Linked DNA regions of Arabidopsis thaliana. The protein of the gene in region 2 interacts with the protein of the main gene of each other region in a pairwise test. Each region holds a gene or a part of one and is shown on either strand. Other genes may lie near its edges. The genes, in order: G1, AT5G42370, AT1G03660 and AT3G01360.

Evidence for each region.
Region 1: the proteins of AT5G42370 (region 2) and G1 interact in a protein complementation assay, tested with the Arabidopsis thaliana proteins (one large-scale study listed by BioGRID).
Region 3: the proteins of AT5G42370 (region 2) and AT1G03660 interact in a protein complementation assay, tested with the Arabidopsis thaliana proteins (one large-scale study listed by BioGRID).
Region 4: the proteins of AT5G42370 (region 2) and AT3G01360 interact in a protein complementation assay, tested with the Arabidopsis thaliana proteins (one large-scale study listed by BioGRID).

Annotation. Positions count from the first base shown.
Region 1 is NC_003074.8:19,208,702-19,212,653, reverse strand, and holds G1 (transmembrane protein G1P-related 1), read left to right. Parts: upstream 1-1,804; 5' UTR 1,805-1,990; coding exon 1,991-2,761; 3' UTR 2,762-3,139; downstream 3,140-3,952. Other genes in the region: ATG2 (metallopeptidase M24 family protein), read left to right, coding at 351-566, 652-788, 875-966, 1,028-1,228, 1,317-1,393. UniProt on the Arabidopsis thaliana protein: Heme-binding chaperone that may be involved in cytochrome c maturation in mitochondria.
Region 2 is NC_003076.8:16,938,195-16,943,922, reverse strand, and holds AT5G42370 (Calcineurin-like metallo-phosphoesterase superfamily protein), read left to right. Parts: upstream 1-2,188; 5' UTR 2,189-2,459; coding exon 2,460-2,576; intron 2,577-2,752; coding exon 2,753-3,163; intron 3,164-3,257; coding exon 3,258-3,398; intron 3,399-3,509; coding exon 3,510-3,617; intron 3,618-3,703; coding exon 3,704-4,009; intron 4,010-4,169; coding exon of another isoform or gene 4,170-4,228; coding exon 4,229-4,424; intron 4,425-4,511; coding exon 4,512-4,594; 3' UTR 4,595-4,942; downstream 4,943-5,728. Other genes in the region: CML37 (calmodulin like 37), read left to right, coding at 608-1,165.
Region 3 is NC_003070.9:910,764-915,913, forward strand, and holds AT1G03660 (Ankyrin-repeat containing protein), read right to left. Parts: upstream 3,046-5,150; 5' UTR 2,891-3,045; intron 2,833-2,890; exon of another isoform or gene 2,769-2,832; 5' UTR 2,588-2,768; intron 2,474-2,587; 5' UTR 2,403-2,473; intron 1,503-2,402; exon of another isoform or gene 1,320-1,502; intron 1,159-1,319; 5' UTR 997-1,158; coding exon 673-996; 3' UTR 547-672; downstream 1-546. Other genes in the region: AT1G03650 (Acyl-CoA N-acyltransferases (NAT) superfamily protein), read right to left, coding at 97-340; AT1G03670 (ankyrin repeat family protein), read right to left, coding at 3,459-4,076, 4,146-4,693, 4,775-5,150.
Region 4 is NC_003074.8:135,425-140,416, forward strand, and holds AT3G01360 (plant viral-response family protein (DUF716)), read right to left. Parts: upstream 3,308-4,992; coding exon 2,348-3,307; 3' UTR 2,346-2,347; exon of another isoform or gene 2,170-2,345; intron 2,137-2,169; 3' UTR 2,037-2,136; coding exon of another isoform or gene 1,154-2,036; 3' UTR 1,070-1,153; downstream 1-1,069. Other genes in the region: AT3G01350 (Major facilitator superfamily protein), read left to right, coding at 534-1,069, 1,154-2,036; CFM2 (CRM family member 2), read left to right, coding at 3,609-4,298, 4,432-4,939.

The DNA.
Region 1 (3,952 bases), on a different chromosome or scaffold from region 2:
ATGATGCTTTTTTGTCATAGTTACTCTGATGGGATTTTTCTTATTCTGATTTTTAGTCTGATCCCTCGTTGGATTTACTATGAGATGTTGGAACTTTGTCTAAGGTTTTCCTCTCTTGGTCTTGCACGATGCTTTTTTTTTTTAGCGGACTTCAAATGTAAATTGTTTTGGGAAAAGATTTCTGGATGAAGACCGTAATTGTTATGGATTCGCATCCAAATGAGGCCGTAGTTACTCTGATGTGGGAAAGTTCTTTAAAATAAAGTTTCTTGCTACGAGTTTGTAGTTTCTTGTTTAGTACTACAACATATTGCAATCAAGACATTGATATTCTGTTTTTCTTATCGCAGAACACTGATGTAACTGAAGCTATTCAGAAGGTAGCTGCAGCTTATGACTGCAAAATTGTTGAAGGTGTTCTTTCCCACCAGCTGAAACAGCATGTGATAGATGGAAACAAGGTTGTGCTTAGTGTATCCAGCCCTGAAACAACTGTTGACGAAGTGGAATTTGAAGAGAATGAAGTCTATGCAATAGATATTGTGGCAAGTACTGGTGATGGCAAGGTAATTTCTTTTGTTTATCGCATCCCGATCACTATTGGTGAACCTTTGTCTATTGCCATTGTTCTCACAATCTTTGACTTTGCAGCCAAAGCTATTAGACGAGAAGCAAACAACTATTTACAAGAAAGATGAAAGTGTTAACTATCAGTTGAAGATGAAGGCCTCCAGATTCATAATCAGCGAAATTAAACAGAACTTCCCCCGTATGCCATTCACTGCAAGGTGTCTTTTGTACCTTCTGAAGCATTTTATATTCCTTAAACTATTATCTCACTTGCTAACGTTACCTGAGAGTATTATCAATACAGGTCACTGGAGGAGAAAAGGGCACGGCTTGGACTTGTGGAGTGTGTGAACCATGGTCATTTGCAACCATATCCTGTTCTTTACGAGAAGCCTGGTAAGGATGATGAAAGGGTTTTGAATCTATAAACCTCTTTTATCTGAATCTTGATATCAAGGCTCATGTCGTTTTGGTTTTCTACCAGGGGATTTTGTTGCTCAGATTAAGTTCACAGTTTTGCTGATGCCAAATGGATCAGATAGGATCACTTCACATACACTTCAGGAACTTCCTAAAAAGACCATCGAAGACCCTGAGATCAAAGGGTGGTTAGCTTTGGGCATCAAGAAGAAGAAAGGTGGTGGAAAGAAGAAGAAAGGTAAGAACTTAAAATAAATTTCCAGACTTTTACCTTATATGACGTGATCCACATGTTGATTAAAAAGGTTCAATTTGGTGTTTTGCAGCCCAAAAGGCGGGAGAGAAAGGAGAGGCTTCAACAGAGGCTGAGCCAATGGACGCAAGTAGTAATGCTCAAGAATGAGTAGGAAGATTTGTCTTTGTTTCTTTTAAAGAATTTTTGAAACTTGAGGTACCTCTTTCGTTGTATGTTTGGGTTTCAAGAGAGTCTCTTCTTAAACAAAAAAAAACAAACAATAGTTTACCACCTTTGTGCATATTTTTGCACAAAGCACTTTTCATCATCATTTCTTTGCTTGTCCTAATCTTATCTCATTCTCTAATCAAAAATACTTATCTGGTTTCAGGCTATAACAATAACTCTGTTTAGAAACACTTGTTACCAACAAACTACTCTTTGAATGTGTTTACGTGGTAAGGATTTGATCCCACAGAAGAGAAATATTTGTGACAGAAGAAAAAAACTCAGCTCTTCAATAATCGAAGCTTATACAGATTTTTGGATTGGTTGATTTTGAGATTGTAACGAATAGTAATCAGAATTTCACTTAAGAAATTGTGATTGAACCCTCTAAACCACAGAGAGGGTTCTTGACGTGGTCCATAGTTCTTCAGTGGGGCGGCTTGTGGCTTCTTTTTCATTTTTCCAGAAAACCCCATAAACCTCTCGCTCTCGGGAATTTGATTGATTCCCACGAGGAAAAATCAATCTTCCCGGAAAATGGCAGCTAGGTTATTGTTCCGTCGAAGTTCTCAAATCCTCCGATCAATTCAACGAAATCCTCAAATCTCATCGTCATTCGAATCACCACCTTGCCCGATTTTTCACTCATTGACCACCGCCTCACCAGATCCATCGCGATTATCATCCTTAACCTTCCTCCGATCTCTCTCCATCGCTCGTCGCGGTCCAACACGTCCTAAGAAAATCGATATCGGAGCCAAAGCGCGTCAGATGCAGAATCGCCGTTTATGGACCTACGCGCTAACCTTCAGCTGCATCGCCGGATTCGTAGTTATCGTCCTTAACCAATTTCAGGATCAGCTTGTCTTCTACCTAACGCCATCAGACGCTATGGAGAAATTCGCAGAGAATCCAACAAAGAACAAATTCAGACTCGGTGGTTTGGTTCTAGAAGGTAGCGTTGCGCAGCCGGCGGCGTCACAGGAGATGGAGTTTGTGATCACTGATCTGATCACTGATATTTTGGTTAGGTATAAAGGATCTTTGCCGGATCTGTTTAGGGAAGGTCATTCAGTTGTGGTTGAAGGATTCATTAAGCCGTATACAGATGAAGTAAGGAAGGAAGTTTCTACAAAACCTATTTCGAAGAAAGCTAGGAACCTCGATTGTTTCTTCTCGGCGACTGAAGTTTTGGCTAAGCATGATGAGAAGTATATGCCACAGGAAGTTGCGGCGGCGATTGAGAAGAATAAGAAAATTATTGAAGCGGCGGCGACTGAACAAGCTGCTGAAGTTGCGGCTTCTTAGATTGGTATAAACTTCATTCTTTTTAAGTTAATCAAAATTTTCCCCAAGTTCGAGCTTTTGGTGAGTATTGTTCATCTTATAAGGTTATATTTGATTATAGTTTCTGGAAAAGAGTAGGAAGATTGGAATGTTATATTCCTGGAAAACAGAGATTTGATTTTTGAGTCTATTTGAGAATTAAGTGGAGAAATGTGATACACTATACAATAGCTTTGTTTGATTCCACAAAGCTATAAGCTAATCTACTTTCTTGTTGTGTTGATCAAATAAAGAACACTTTGACGAGGGATCAAATATGCTGCTTGATTCATTGTGTTGTTGGATGTTTTGTTTGTTGTTGATGTGCACACAGATTAGAGAAGCTATGTTTTGTTGCTGCACACAGATTAGATTGATCTAGTGAATCTTATTAGCTTCATCAGGTCGTGGGTATATAATTGTAAACGTATCACCAAAGTTGTAGCTTGTGTGACCTTATTCTTATCATGACTAGGTACTATAGCCAAAAGAGTTGAACATACAGGTCTTTCAGAGCTTCCTCTTAGTTGTTCTGGAGGTTCCAAGCTCTTTCTTTGTTGTTTTATAAATATGGGTTGAGCTTGTTGACAATCTTGAAGATGGTCATGCATTCCTTTTATGCATCTTATGTTTCAACTAGGCAATTCTGGCCCTGGAGATTTCAAGTTTGTACTTTCTGAGTCGATTAGGTGCCTAGTTTTTGCCTCTAGAATCATGGCATTGGCTTCTGTTTTGGCACTTCTCTTAGGCTTGTTGGTTGATAACCAACTACTAGTCTACTAATGTAGCTGTAGTTTGAAGTGTTCCGCAGTTACGCTATTGCTTTTGCTTTTTTTAAGTGCATCTTTATATATGCATCAGTCTCTCATTGTATAGCAAATTTATCGTGGGTGGTATATGATTCAGTCAACAAAAACTGACTATCAAGTATGGAACGAGTGGTATATGATTGAGTCATCAAAAATACTGACTATCAAGTATGGAACAAGAGCATTACGATATTTGTCACTACTATATTCGATTGCTATTGTGTGCTTGGTCCATTTTGAATATGGGACAAATCACCATTACTATACTTGCTGCCCTATACTAACTAGATTATTCCATATTCCTCGTAGATAGTTTTTGTTTTTTGGTTCAGAGAAAGTTCAGATTTTAGGCCTATAAGTTCTT
Region 2 (5,728 bases):
ACTCTCTTTTGGTCCATATAGAAATATATTTTCTTATGGAAAGGGAATTCAGGACCGGGAATGTAACAGTTAGATGAAACTTCATCACATGAAATATTTTATTTTTAATTCAAGTTTCTAGGAACAGAGGAAGTCATACCACTTTCGTGGAGCATATCTGGACGGTTATATGAAACTTCATGACAGTTTAACAATTTAAAAGACCAAAACCACGTGTCCGCACATCGTATACTCAATCAAAGTCAAAGAGAAGGTTTGCTACTTTTCTTAATCTAGTCGTCGATATGACATCACATTTCACACAATACGTGAGAAAAACTTACCATCACATTATTACGAAAACACCCCTAGTCGTGGTCAACTTGACCTTTCCCCACAAACACTCATTGCGGAGGAAACTTCCCGGCCACCGCCGCGCAACCGCCTCTAGCTTTAAATAATAACACCAAAATATTCAAACCCGTGTTTTAACCGTCGAACAATCAAGAATCTCTCCACCATTACACGCATTCACATACTCATCTATATATAATCTACCACTTCTTGAAAAGAATTTGCATCAGAAATCCATTTCCCAAATCTTCTAGATTCATATTCAAATCAAGAAATGACTCTCGCTAAGAACCAAAAATCATCATTGTCACGACTATACAAGAAAGTTTCCTCGAAGAGATCAGAATCGTCAAGAAACCTTGAAGACGAATCAAGAACGAGCAGTAATAGTAGCGGAAGCAGCTCGTTAAACGTTAACGAGCTAAGAACCGTTTTTGACTATATGGATGCAAACTCAGACGGGAAAATCTCCGGTGAAGAGCTACAAAGCTGCGTTAGTCTCTTAGGCGGCGCGTTATCGTCACGTGAGGTGGAGGAAGTGGTGAAGACATCAGACGTTGACGGAGACGGGTTTATAGATTTTGAGGAGTTTTTGAAGCTTATGGAAGGGGAAGATGGTAGTGATGAAGAAAGGAGGAAGGAGTTGAAAGAAGCGTTTGGGATGTATGTTATGGAGGGGGAAGAGTTTATTACGGCGGCGAGTTTACGGAGGACGTTGAGTCGACTCGGCGAGTCGTGTACGGTTGATGCTTGTAAGGTTATGATTCGTGGGTTTGATCAGAATGACGATGGAGTTCTCAGCTTTGACGAGTTTGTTTTGATGATGCGTTGAGATGATATATATGGGATTGGGACATCTTCCTTCCCTCCTCAAAATTTTATTCATTCAATTATTATTTTTGTGAGAGATTCTTATTCCTTTGTATATTTGTGTCTCATCTAATCTATTTGTATTATTTAACACACTTCATAATAAACGTGTCTTGTTTTGATATTCTGAATTTGTCAAAACATACAAAATGTGTTTATATGTCTCCCCATAACTGAGAATACCCAATTAAGGGGACTAAAATCTAAAACTGCGAGTCGTAAAAGAGGCCAGTCATCACCACCATTTGCCGCTCGACCAATGTCACTAGGTGAGTGAGAAACAACCGATAACGCGCGTATATTCTCACATCACTCATTTTTTGGTAGAGGTCGGTAAAACATTTCATATCGTTTGACGTTTGTAAATCTACAGTTTTATTATGCTAGAACAATGATATTGATTCACATTATTGGATGTTTCTATAATTACAGTTACAAACAGATACATAATTATTGCACCAATTCACTTTTTCTATTCAATAAGAGATAATATTGTTTGTAAACCTTTTAACTAAAACGATCCGCTTCGAAACTTGTTTCTTAATGTCTAAAACAATATTACACTTCACAATTTTGCCATCCGTAGAAGTCTCTAGTGTAAAAAATTCTGAATTTGCATGGTTCCGGGGAAATTTTATACAATCTAGAAAATTGGAATAAAATTTTCATAAAATTATTTTTTTGGTCGGATAAAGTTTTCATAGAAGAACACATATTAAATGGATTTATCATCACATAGTAGTAGATAAACAATTTAAATTATGTAATACAAATCAAAATGAATTAATCTATTTGCCACATATAGTGAATTTGATTTCTATTCAAAGGGGAAAATACAAATTCATTTTTAATATGTAGTAGATATTTGTTTCTCAAGTAATTAATATTCATATTTAAAAAATCATTGCATATGTTAAACAAATCTACAAAAAAATTCAATGGTCATTCCATAATTATAAATAATACGGATATTTCACAAATTCACTTTTTGTTTGGAACCCAGAAAAAAGATTCATAAAACCAGGCAATAGAAATTTCATCTGAAGAAAAGAAAAAGTAAAGCTATTAAAAATCAAAGCCACGAGAAGAAAGTAGAAAAAGTTACAGTCTCTGTCTATCAAAATCCCAACGGTAACTGAAAATCGCCGGAACCGAATCTGCGGCGAGCCAAAACTTGTGGATCTTTTAATGAAAACTTGAAGATTCCTCTTTCCACGGTTGCTTCTAGGGTTTTCTCTTCGATTCACCACATCGTCATGAACCAAATCTCTTTCTGGTGCCTTTCTTTACTCCTTACGGTGGTGATTGCTGCAGAAGAGACTCCTATCACTCGTATAGCCTTCGGATCATGCGCTAATCAAAGTGCTCCACAGGTAAATCAATCGTACAACCCCTACTTGGCTCTGGATTCAGTGTTTTAAGACTGCTCTGTTTGGCTGGTGTTTAAGTGAGCTGATTATGGTTTTTGTTTAATTAGCCGATGTTCTCTTAGATGATATAAGCTTGTGTTGCATACTATGTTAAACATTGTATTTTTGTTACATTTTAGCCGATATGGGATGCGATAAACAAGTTTGATCCGCAACTGTTTATTTGGTTGGGTGATAACATCTACGGAGATATAAGAAGACCACTTACAGTCATTGGGAAAGAGAGAACTTTTGGGCCATGGAGGAATTCACCGAGGTTTGTACCTTCTTCAGAGGAAGAAATGAAACTAAGATACGCTAAAGCCAAAGCTAATCCTGGATATTCTCGTATTCAGAGAAAAGCTAAGGTTATTGGTACATGGGATGATCATGATTACGGATTGAATGACGCTGGAAAAGAGTTTGATCGTAAAGTCATTAACCAAAAACTTATGCTTGATTTCTTGAATGAGCCTCTTGATAGTCCTAGGAGAAAGCAAGCTGGTGTTTATGCTTCTTATACTTATGGTCCGCCTAATCGGAAAGTTAAGGTATTAACAGAAACTCTTGTCTTCTTTGGTAGTTTTGTTAAGTTTAGAATGAAGAGCTTATATGTGATTTAACACAGTTGTGTATCTCCTTCAGGTTATAGTTTTAGATACTAGATATCATAGAGACCCTTTAAGAAGTGACGGGAGCATATTGGGTGATACGCAGTGGGACTGGCTCGAAAATGAATTGAGCGGTCCCCGAAGCGAAATCACTATCATAGGATCCTCTGTTCAGGTATCTGCAAATTAGACTTTTGTGTCCTGTTCCAGTTTGGCCATGGACTTAAACTTGATGAAGCCTGAGTGTCTTATTCCATCTAGAACTGTTGTCTCTTAACTTGTCCAGGTGATATCAAATCTTTCTGCTACCACTGGACCTCTCTTTTATATGGAATCATGGGGTCGTTTTCCAAAGGAAAGGAAACGTCTTTTTAAACTGATAGCAGATACTAAGGTATGGGATTGTTGACAGTAATGTTTCCAACTGTCAGTTTTCTTCTTTCCTCGTCCCCATAATTCTTCGTTGCTTTGACATTACAGAGAGATGGAGTTATATTCATCAGTGGAGATGTACATTTTGGAGAAATCACGAGATATGATTGTTCTGTTGGGTACCCATTATATGATGTCACCTCCAGTGGTCTAGTACAATCTGTTGAGAAAGTTGTCCCTCGTCCCTTGCGTTCCATAGTTAGGCTTCTTTTTTGGTATACTCCAAGCACGATGAGAGTTATCAATGATAACTGCAAATTCAAATCTTGCACATACGGTATTATTCTCAATTTGATTCCTTTTACGTTTTCTTCTGATAAACTGTGGAAAGATTTATTGACAAGCCAAGACACAGTGAGTCTACTTTAAGTTCCAACTTTAGCTCTATAGCTCTACTGTCACTAACCTAGGACGGAATATAGTAGACTGTAACTGTTGTGAGTTGATTTAACAGAGCAGCGATGTACTCTTTTGTATGATTACATTGGTTACAATATCTTAAACTTACGTGCAGGACAACAAAATTTTGGAGCAATATCGATAGATTGGAATGCAAATCCGGTTACCATAAAGCTCGAGATCAGAGATGTTAACGGAGACACTGTACTAGGCACGAATGTTTCATTATCTGAACTCCAACCAGGAGGCTCGAATTCTTTAAAAGATACAACAACTAAGGGAAAGTCTCAACGATATTGCACACTCGAAATTGAATTACCAGGAACGACCAGATACCGATTGGCAGTTCTCATCTACTTCACCATTGCTGGTATGTCATTCTTCCTCACTGTGGTTGGTCATGATGAAAGAATGTTGCGGAGTACTGATATATACGTTGTTTGATTGGGTTCGACAGTCTTGGCAATGGCGATATTAGGACTTATCATTGGAGCTGTATTGGCCATAACAGCATGCGTTTATAAATGCAAGGTCGATTGATTGTTGATGACATTAATCAACTTTTTTTGGTCCAACAAAAGTGTCTTTATGACTTATAATCTGTATTAGTTGGATTATTCAGGGATTACAATTCGGATGTAGCTTATAATGTTAAAAATTGTTGAACACATGGATTTTGATCTTGTGATGGGAATTCTAAGCTTGAGCTGTTATTAATTAAACTTCTTTGAAAGAGAATGTTTGTGAACACAAGTTAAATTCTAGACTACATGCAATAGCATTATAGTTTCCAGTTTCTTTTTTCTTTTATTATTGTAAACCAAGGTTTATCGTTTATTACATATGAAGGTTTTCACTGTCTATTTGTAATAAATTAAACAAATTAAAGTTTTTATAATTTCAGTAATGATCTCAAAACGGATACTAGCTTTGATTGGTGAACAAAAACAAAGTATATTGGCTTTGATTGGTGAACAAAAACAAAGTATTACAATTTGTACCGCTTTTATTTCTGTTAATTACAAAAGCTTTTTTAAAGCGTTACAAAAAGTTTTACTCTCAGCTTTATTACTATATAGCTTTCTCGTACAACTATTTTTTTACAACTTTGCAGTATTCCGAAAAAGTTTTTATCACCGTTAACAGTTAAGATTTGAACAGCTGTATGTTACCGATAGGATCCACTATACTTCCCAAATCTGATGTTAATTAGTAATATGAGGTTAATTTTTTACTATTTTATTGAAAAAGCGATATTCTTGCAATTGACCCATAATTGAGTCAGCTTAATTTCCATTTATTTTTTTTTTGTTTTTTATTTATTTTTTTAGCTTCCGCTTTCTGCAGTATGATCTATTTAAAATAAAATAAAAAAGGGAAAAGTGGGAAATCGATGCGTCAATCTTAGGTCTCCGAGGTCTCAATTATTTCATCTTCTTCGGTGATTTCTGGGGAAGATGCTCTGGATTTGGGAAAGCAACTCTGTCGATGGATGAATCTCTTTTCGAAACTTCTGGGTGATATGCTCAATGTGAGTGAAATTGTTCTTCGAATTTGTTGAATTTCGTCCATTGTGTGAAATTGCAGACGCGTCTTGTAGTTTGATTGTGAAACTTAATTTTGTAGGCTTCTTTGAGTTACTTCGTTGGAATTTTGGAGTTAGGCTTTTTACAT
Region 3 (5,150 bases), on a different chromosome or scaffold from region 2:
GGCAGAATAATTCCACTTCTTCTCTAACGAAATTATATTTTCTGAATTTTATCACTGAGTAATTTCATCGAACAGTTGGCGGACGTTTGTCTATACCTGCGAGCTTGGTGATTGAAGCGGAAAGCGAAGATGGCCAAGAATACATGGCATAGCCTACTGTGTCTCCTTCAGCATCCACGTATAGCAAACCGGCGTTTTTCTTACGCAGCTCTGCATCGAAAGTTTGAGCGAGAGATTCGTGTTTAGGGAACGTTTTCTTCTCCAGCTTCACGATATCTTCCACAACTTTGGCCCAACTGGTCGACCCTCTAATCAGCTCTACCACAACTCCTTTGTCCATTGTACAAAAGATTCGATTTTGTGGAATCTCTCGTTGGTTTCGCAGCCGGTGAGAGCGAGTGAGCCAAGGAAATTGTGATTTGATTTTGATGAAGGTGCGTAGCGACGGCGGGGACGACTTTTAGAAACTATTTGAAATTGTGATTTGACCCACAAATTTAACTTTTGTGACAATTTAGTCCCCAGAAACAGAGGAACTGTATCAGAGACCACACCAAATTAAAAGACAACATATTTGATCAATCACTGTGAACGAACTTATGAAAGATTGCAGATAGAAACAATCAAGAGCTTGAATGTGTAATGGAAAATGTTCACAAACCTACATACACATCACTTATGTGCTTTGGAGCTAAAGACATGGAAGGAATGCCATGGAAGGAGCATCAATACAAGACAAACTCCAAATGCAAATGCAACAACCATAGACCAAAAAGCAAACATGATAAGTACCATGGCTCGTTTCATAGCTTGCTGTATCAGAGGAATATCACCCAGATGTTGTGGCCAAATAAGATTCATTGTAGCTATGACAGACAAGAGCACTGGAATGCTATTGCAAACCAGAAAAACTATGAACACTGCTTTCTTGACCAAACCTGTGATGCCTAAATCTGGAGCAGAACTGGTGTAGATCTTTGTAAATGTGAAACCCATAACAAATGTCACAACTGCTACAATTGTTGTACCACCATAAGCAATAAGATACGTTCTTGTAGTTTAGATATTCTGGGACGCTGTGAAGCACTCAAGAGAATTGGTTGTGTACCATTTGGTGAACTAGCAGATCCCAAAGCCATATCCAAGCTTATTATATCTCTGAAAGATTGAATTAAACGAGACATGATGATAGGACTTCACAAAAACATGTTTTAAAAAGCAGATTCAGAAATTTTATCATAAACTTACTCTCTTTTTCCAATTGAAACCCAAAAAGAATAGTTAGAACTTAAACTTGAAAATACACACTCAAAGATTACCTTAAGACGCTTTGAAATCTAGGTGATGAAGGAAGACGAAGAAAATAATGTTGAAGTTTTGAACTTGTAGCAACCAAAATATTTAATCCTAACAAGTCATTGACTTAATCAAAATAAGAAAGGAGAAGTCTGGATGTGCGTACCAATCAACGACGATGTTTAGCTTGCCGAGCAAGCAATTAAATAATTGAATTAAGGTCGTTGACTCCAACGCAAAAAGTCGATGATTCAAAGGTTGGGTTTTTGTCTTTATCCAAAACAACCTTATAGTTTTAAAAATATAATTTTAAAAACATTTTAAAATAAAATAAAAATAAGTGTTAAAAATCTAAATTATGTGTAAACTATATTGAACCTAGGACACTTCTAAGGGGTTTGGATGTTGTGTCTAATTAGTTTAACACAATATTTAAAAATTTAACATTTATCCAAAAAAAAACTTATAGTTTCAATAGTAATATAAAAATATAATTTTAAAAACATTTTTTAATAAATTAAAAACAAATGTTAAAATTTTTAATTATGTGTAAACCATATTGAATTTAGGACACCTCTTAGGGTTTTAGATGTTGTGTCTAATTAGTTTACATAACATTTAAAAATTTAATATTTATCCAAAAAACCCTTATAATTTTAATAGTTATATAAAAATATAATTTTAAAAACTTTTTATAATAAAATGATGATAAGTATTAAAAATTTAAATTAAGTGTAAACCATATTGAACCTAGGACACCTCTTAGGGGTTTGGATGTTATGTCCAATTAGTTTACACAAAATTCAAAAATTTAACACTTATCCAAAAAACCTTTATAGTTTTAATAGTTATATAAAAATATAAGTTTAAAAATATTTTTTAATAGAAGAGAAACAATTGTTAAAAATTTAAATATGTGTAAACGAAAACAGTTTGTTAAATAAAATTAAAAACTACTGTTGAAAATACTTTTATTTTTTTGTTGAAAACAAAAACATTTTGTAATTTATTATTTTTAAAAAATGAACGAATAATAGAAGAAATAACTTACATGGAATCGTGTTAAAAAAAAAAAAATAATAATAATAATAATAATAATAACTTACATGGAATAAGTGTTGAATTGTTGATGAACAGTGTTTGTCCACAAATCTAGTAGGCGATAACTTTCAATAGGCTGAAATTGAATAAAACGAAGAAAGGAGTGAATATTTGGTTTAGGGCTAAATTTAGAGACAGTAGACAAAAAAAAAAAAAGAGAAAAGCATAGAGGATTTTGGAAATTACTTACCGTTACAGGTCAAGAAAGAGAGGACTATGACTTTATGAGATTGGTGTTACTGCATCATCCCTAGCCCTAATGGAATTGGACAAGGAAGAACGGTGATTGTAAACGACGATTGGGCCTTGTTCTCTCCGGCGATGACTGGAATCAAACGCCGACGACGTTTATTGTTCTAAATCTTCTTAAACTTCAAACCATCAAAGATAAACATAATCCAAAACAAACCCTATTAAAGATTAAACAGAACAACGAAACTCACAATTAAAAGCAAAAGAGATTCACACCAAAATAGTTTCAGATAACACGTACCGACTGAGTCAAAATCCAATCGATCCATAGATCCTCCGAAGAAAAATAGAAATGAAAGATGGTTTCTTTTGTTTTCGTTTTGCAGAAGAAGAAGAAGAAGAAGATGAATGAAGAATTAGTTATTTTACAAGGAAGAAGAGTATTTATAAGCAAACGTTGTTCAATAGAAAAAAGGAAATTTCTATTGTTTCCTTTTTGTTTTCGACTAGGTTAAGAAAAAGGAAATTTTAATTAGGCTGCAAAAAAAGAAAAGGAAATTTCCTCACAACGGTCATATTTGTATCTTACTGCGTAACAACAATTTATCAAGACAAATTATTTGAGGTTTCTTATTTTTGAAACAGAGAATTTGGCCTTGAAAGCGAGAGGAGCAAAGTCGGGATCATGCATGTGAGCTCTTTGCAACAGCCAACGGTCATATTTGTCTCTGTACCAATTTTTGTGGTTACTTAGTAAAACCACAATTACAAACTCGTGAGATACAAAAACTGTTAAAAACAAACAGAACACTAACCATCCATCATCCATGATACAAAACAGAGCAGAATAGAACAGAACAGAGCATTCTTTAACCATCCATGTTGTTGCTGCCTTCGCTAACAACCAAAAGCATCAAGAAATAAGGAAAGTAGAAGATATGTCTGAGAAAGCCATGTCTTGTAGACGAGAAAGCGTAAGGAATGATAAGTAGCATCAGGAATACCAAGAAGGCTGAATCTATGGCTAATACAAGATGGGAAAGCCATGGGAGATCGCTCACCACAAGAGTAAGTCCAGCCACAGATGCCATCATCATTGATACAACAGCTGTTAACAGAAGTGGTAAAGCTAGTCGAAAAGCTTTCTTTGTCAGAAGTGCATCACCCAGTTGTGCCCATATTAGAGCCATTACAGTTACCACAGAAGTGCACATTGCAATGTTGTTCAACAACAGAAATACCTTAAAATTCAACTTATTGACCAATGCAGCCATGCCTAAATGTGGAGCAGAACTCATGTAACCACCGGGTAATGTCAAACCTGCAGCGAAGGTCACGGTTGCTACGAGTGTTGCAGTCACCATAAGAGTATTGACACTATCCTTGTATCTTTCTGGACTTTGTTTGCTACTCTGTGACACAGTCAAGGGAATCAGGTTTGGGCCATGTGGTGCTCCAGCAGATACCAAAGCCATCCAAATCAATCTCTGTAAACCAATAAAAAAAGTTACATGAGACTTTATCATTAACTACATGAATCTTCAAATTTGACATACCTTGTAAAGTACGTAAGCGTTATTGTCCTTCATCGTCTCAGCAATATCTAAAGCTGTAAAGCCTTCATTGTTGAGTGCTCTGAGGTTAATCCCATCGTTCCATGTAAGCATATTCACAACTATCGGGTATCTGTGTTTAGTGGCTAGGTGTAACGGTGTATTCCCATTGATATCTTGTTCATTCATCATTCTTTTCCCTTCATCAAGTTTTAAAAGATACTTGACAACTTTCGACTTACCAGCTATGGCAGCAACGTGAAAGATATTCTGACATTGATTGTTAAGTAGCTCTCTTGAGTCAGGACAGTGTTTAAGAAACTCCTTAATGATTCTGACATGTCCTTCCTTTGCCGCCATATGAATAGGAGTGAAGCCATCATCATCAGCGACATAACAAAGGCTTGAAGCTGCTTTGTCAAACTCTGCTAGTATATAGCGAATTCCCTCATAACATCCCATTGATGCTCCATAGGAAAGACATGTCCTTCCTTCTTCGTTGCGTAATTCAATAAGTCCTGGATCTTGTCTAAGAACAATACCTAGGATATCTGTCAAAGCAATGACCAAGAAATAATTAAAACATATAAAGAACACTTGGCGTACAAGGTTGAACAAACATAGAAACAAACCTCTTCTATTGGCCTTCATTGCTGCATGTATAACAGATTTTCCACTGAACATCGAAGCTAGTATAGATGGGGAAGATGAAGATTCAAGCATTTTAAGCACGAGCTCGTGATATCCAGCTTCTACAGCCATGTATAATGGAGATGCTTCATCATTGTTCTTATCAAATGATACATCATGCTTCACACTTACTAGGCAGAAAGCCACCTCTACATGTTTTCCTTTCAACGCGGCATGTAGTGCAGTATCTCCGTTCTTGCTTTTAGCGGCAATAAACGCATCATAGGAAGAAGACTCTGTAATGAATCGAACAAGAATCTCAACAATATTGAGACTGCCTGCTCTGGCTGCAACATGAAGAGTTGTCTCACCCATCAG
Region 4 (4,992 bases), on a different chromosome or scaffold from region 2:
AACTCTCCTCCACCGTCAGACAATAACGGTCAGGCGGTGAGGGAATGTTGCTTTTATTTATCTTATTTTATAATCGCGTTGTTAATAGAATTGGTTATATTTTGATAATGTTTTGGCCTTCTATTAGATGTCTATGTATATGCTTGATTAAGCAGTCATTAAGTGATAAACTGATAATGGGTATTAACTTGTGCAAGAAAAACTGGTTTAGACGATATATCTAAGGAAGTTATAAGTTAGGTGTTGGGTCATTTTCCGAGTTAAGGAATAGATCAAGTAGACCATCTTAAAGAGTCTTTAAGAAATTAGATACTTGGTCACCGTCCGATTAGAAATTTTCTTTTACCACTAATGGAGTTTATATGGATCCCTTTAATAGTTGGGTTGATAATGGAATTTTGATTAGAATGTTGATATAGTGCTTATAATGGGTCTTATCGGATCTTATAGGCGAAAAAGCTAGCTTAGTGGAAACTCGAAAATCTTCTTTTGTTAGTAGTTTTTAATATATTATTTCTGTTTTTTCTTTGAAGGGACTAGTGGGATTGACATGGACGGCATTTGCTGGGTCACGTTCAGCTACTAAGACTATCTCTTCTTACTTTCTCTACTCTTCACTATGTCTTGTCTCAATCGGTTTAGGCGTCTTAAACCCTTCTCTTCAAGCCTTTGGTGCAGACCAACTCGACCACGACCTCGATAAGAATTTCGATCTTTCCTCGGGTGATCAAAAGGACGCGAAAGCTACCCGAAAGACTCAGTTTTTCCAATTGTGGTACTTTGGCGTCTGCACCGGCAGCCTTATGGGTGTCACAGTCATGGCTTATATTCAAGACACTTTTGGTTGGGTTCTCGGTTTCGCCATTCCTGGTATCGTGATATTCCTGTCGATTTTGGTGTTCATGTCGGGTTGTGGAATTTATGTTTATGCTCCGGGCGCCCGTCTGAAGAAGAAAACAACTACTACACCTTTTGAGAAGATTCTTAAATTCATTAAAGGGAGAGTAGTGAAGCAGAGAAGCATATATACACTTGCAGATGAGAAAGATTTGGATGCTATGGAGCTTGAGTAAGTTCGGAAAAACCACGATATCTCATGAAACTAATTAGTCTTTTAAGTTTTTTAGCGACTAATGATTACCTGTTTATGTAGGCTAGAGGAGAGGCCTCTCTGTAAATGTGAGACCGAAGACATTGAGACTCCTTCAACAACCTCCAAAGGATTGGAAGATGACGAGAGCTCGAAAACGGTTTTCTCTGGAATTGATAATGTTAAGTTAGTGATTCGCCTTTTCCCCATATGGATGATGCTTCTCATGTTCGCGGTTATCTTCCAGCTACCAGCAACCTTTTTCACCAAACAAGGTGTGACTATGAAGAGAAACATTGGGTCCAACTTCAAAATCCCACCTGCAACCCTGCAAAGCACGATCACATTATCAATCATCCTGCTTATGCCATTATATGATAAGATTTTGATACCTATTACCAAGAGAATCAAGAAAAACGGTACAGGTATCTCTGTGATGGAGAGAATGGGAGTCGGAATGTTTCTATCCATCATTGCCATTGTTATTGCGGCAATAGTCGAAAGGAAAAGACTAGCCATAAGCCAAAAGATGAAGACTTTACCTGATTATGATCCAGAAACCGTCCCACTGAGCATCTTCTGGCTGCTGCCTCAGTACATCCTCTTGGGAATCTCAGATATATTCACAGTCGTTGGGATGCAAGAGTTTTTCTACAGTGAGGTTCCTGTAAGAATGAGAACAATGGGATTTGCTCTCTACACAAGTGTTTTTGGTGTTGGAAGCTTTGTGAGCGCCGCACTGATCTCAATTGTCGAGGCTTACTCGAGCTCAACAGGTGACCGACAAAACTGGTTTGCAGATGATATGTCGGAAGCTCGGCTTGACAAATACTACTGGCTTCTTGCTCTTACAAGTACAATAAGCTTTGTAGTCTACATATTTCTATGCAAGTTTTTCAAGAGTAGCAGTGATCAAGGCGATGAAAAAGAAGAAGCCCCTAAATGAAAGAAGAAAAACTTTGATTCCTTTGACACAGTCGACTTAGATAACCGTTTGCCATAAGATTCCACGAATGATCTAACTGTAGTAGTAGCTTTAGAACTAACTAGCAAACCAAAAGAGATAGACAACTGTAAGATTTTTATTCATAAGAAACAGTATCTTATAATATCAAATGCAAAAGATTCAACATTATTATTATCTCGTGTGTTTGATTACATATCATCATTAATCCTCCCATTGACCAACAACATTTCTAAAATGGACAGATTCAAAACAGACAAAAAAAAAAAAGTCTGAAACTTTGATTTATACCTTTAATCATGTGAGCTGTTTCCATTGAGACCAACTTCTTTAGCTACGTTGCTCTCTTCTCGAACCTCGTCTTCTTCATCAGAGTCAAGTGTGAAAGTACTTAAATTCTCCAACTCAGCTCCGAGAGGTCGATATTTAGAATGATCTTGACGGAGATAACCATTCTTGTTAGCAATGACAGAGAACAAACCAGTAGCCACAACTACCATTAGAGCCAAATGACAGTTAAATTGAAGAGTAGCTATAGCTTTTGCTCGGTGATAATCACCGTGTCCTTTGCACTTGATCGTGAAATTGCCTCTGCTCTTCTCGTGAAACGTACAGTTATTAGTGATCAAACCGGTAAAAAACGATACACCCATTTGCAGAAACCATGTTCCTTGCAGAATCAGACCGATCCCACGACCTAATTTCGCAAACCGATGCGTGCTAGAGTCGGATTTGAGCTCAAAAACCGTGGAGAAGACGCAGATGGCAATGGGCACGAGCATGAGATCGTAATAACGATTCTCGATTCCAGAAACATCTTTCTTTTGCAGGTAGAACATTAAGAACTCCTCAATGAAGCCAAAGAGAAGCAATAAAGTTGTAATCGAAGACGGAAGTGCAACAAAGACAGCGTTTTTGGAGTTGACCAGATATGTTAGAATGGCGTAATATAGGAATAGTACTGCCACTGCCACGATCTGTAACTGGATCATTGACCCGACCCGATCGCGAGATCCGATTGAGCTGAAGAAGGAGAAAAACGAGTTCGCAATAAACAGAGACGAAAGCAAAGCTACGGGGATGGAAGATGATCCAACAGATTTTGGCGGCGAAGCTCTGATCTGAGCCATAGGGGAAGATGAATCAGCAGTACCAGAAGATGAATTCGGATCCAGGTTCGATGAGTCCAGTGACTCCCACGCGCCGATTACTGCAAATCCACCGCCGGCGACGGCGTAACTTAATATACCCATGACTCCAATCTTCACAATCTCTGCGAATCAGGTTATACTTCTTTCGAGGAAATTTGGATTTTTCCGCCATTAAAGCTTAACAGAATCGAGCTTCTGATCTGATAAACCGGAAAGATCCGACCCGACCCGAATAACCCAAAATGGGATAGGCTAGTAGCCCAATAACTCAATATGGGCCTACTGGGGTCTTCAAATAGTTCATGTTTAAATATTCTAACCATCACGTGACAATCATGTGACCTCTATGGATATGCTGCTGCTGCATATAGCTCCGCTTGCGTAATCCAGTTTGCTTGGAGAAATGTTGCTTCCACTGTTTCACCAGCAACCATTGATACTTGCCAAAACCTTTCCCGATCGAATTTTCCCGCCATTCCTTGTTCCCAACACCCTAGTTTCGCGACGCAATGTCAGTCGAGCGAACTCCGGCATCTTCTGTAGTTCTGCTTCCGGTCGAAAGACTCTTCCCCAATCGGCTATCCAGAGAATCGCTGAGAAGCTTCGTAGCCTTGGATTCGTGGAAGAGAAGCATGATTCACCGACTAGGAGAATCACGGGAGAAGAATCTGGTAAGAATTCCCCAGGAGAGATATTCGTTCCGTTGCCTAAGCAGCTTCCGATTCACCGGGTCGGGCACACGATTGACACAAGCTGGAGCACGCCTAGTTACCCGGTTCCGAAGCCCGGGTCGGGTACTGCCATTTCAAGGTACCATGAGTTGAAGAGAGTGTGGAAGAAGGAAACGGAGATGGAGAGGAAGAAGGAGGAGAAGGTTCCGTCGTTGGCGGAATTGACATTGCCGCCGGCGGAGCTGAGGCGGTTGAGGACGGTGGGGATTAGGTTGACGAAGAAGCTGAAGATTGGCAAGGCTGGGATTACGGAAGGGATTGTGAATGGGATTCACGAGAGATGGAGGACGACGGAGGTTGTGAAGATTTTCTGCGAAGATATTTCCAGAATGAACATGAAACGGACCCATGACGTCTTGGAGGTTTGTTTGCCTCTCTACTTTTGATTTCATGATAGGGATTTGATAGTAACATTTGACTCTCAATGAAAGATCTATGAACATGTCAACAAATGGCACAGACGGAAATTCATACTTGTCCTGGTTGATTTTACAGACAAAAACTGGAGGCTTAGTCATTTGGAGGTCTGGAAGCAAAATATTGTTGTATAGAGGGGTAAATTATCAGTACCCTTATTTTGTATCTGATCGGGATTTGGCACATGAAGCTGCTTCAGGAGCATCATCTATGGATCAAGGAGTGGTTGATAGTAGAGAGAAACAGAGTATTGCAGAATCTTCTGCCCCGAGTATTACTAATAAAATGGTTAAACCGATGTTGACGCAAGGCGTTGGTTCTCCGGATAAGGTTAGGTTTCAATTACCCGGGGAAGTACAGCTTGTAGAAGAAGCAGACCGTTTGTTGGAAGGATTGGGTCCAAGATTTACTGACTGGTGGGCATATGATCCCCTTCCCGTAGATGGTGATCTTCTGCCAGCCGTAGTACCTGACTACAGGAGACCATTTCGCCTTCTTCCATATGGCGTCAGTCCAAAACTAACTGATGATGAAATGACCACAATAAGGAGACTTGGTAGACCACTCCCTTGTCATTTTGCTTTAGGTAAGCTTGGTTTCACCTGATTTTAGCTTCATTTAGACACGAAAAGATTGTTA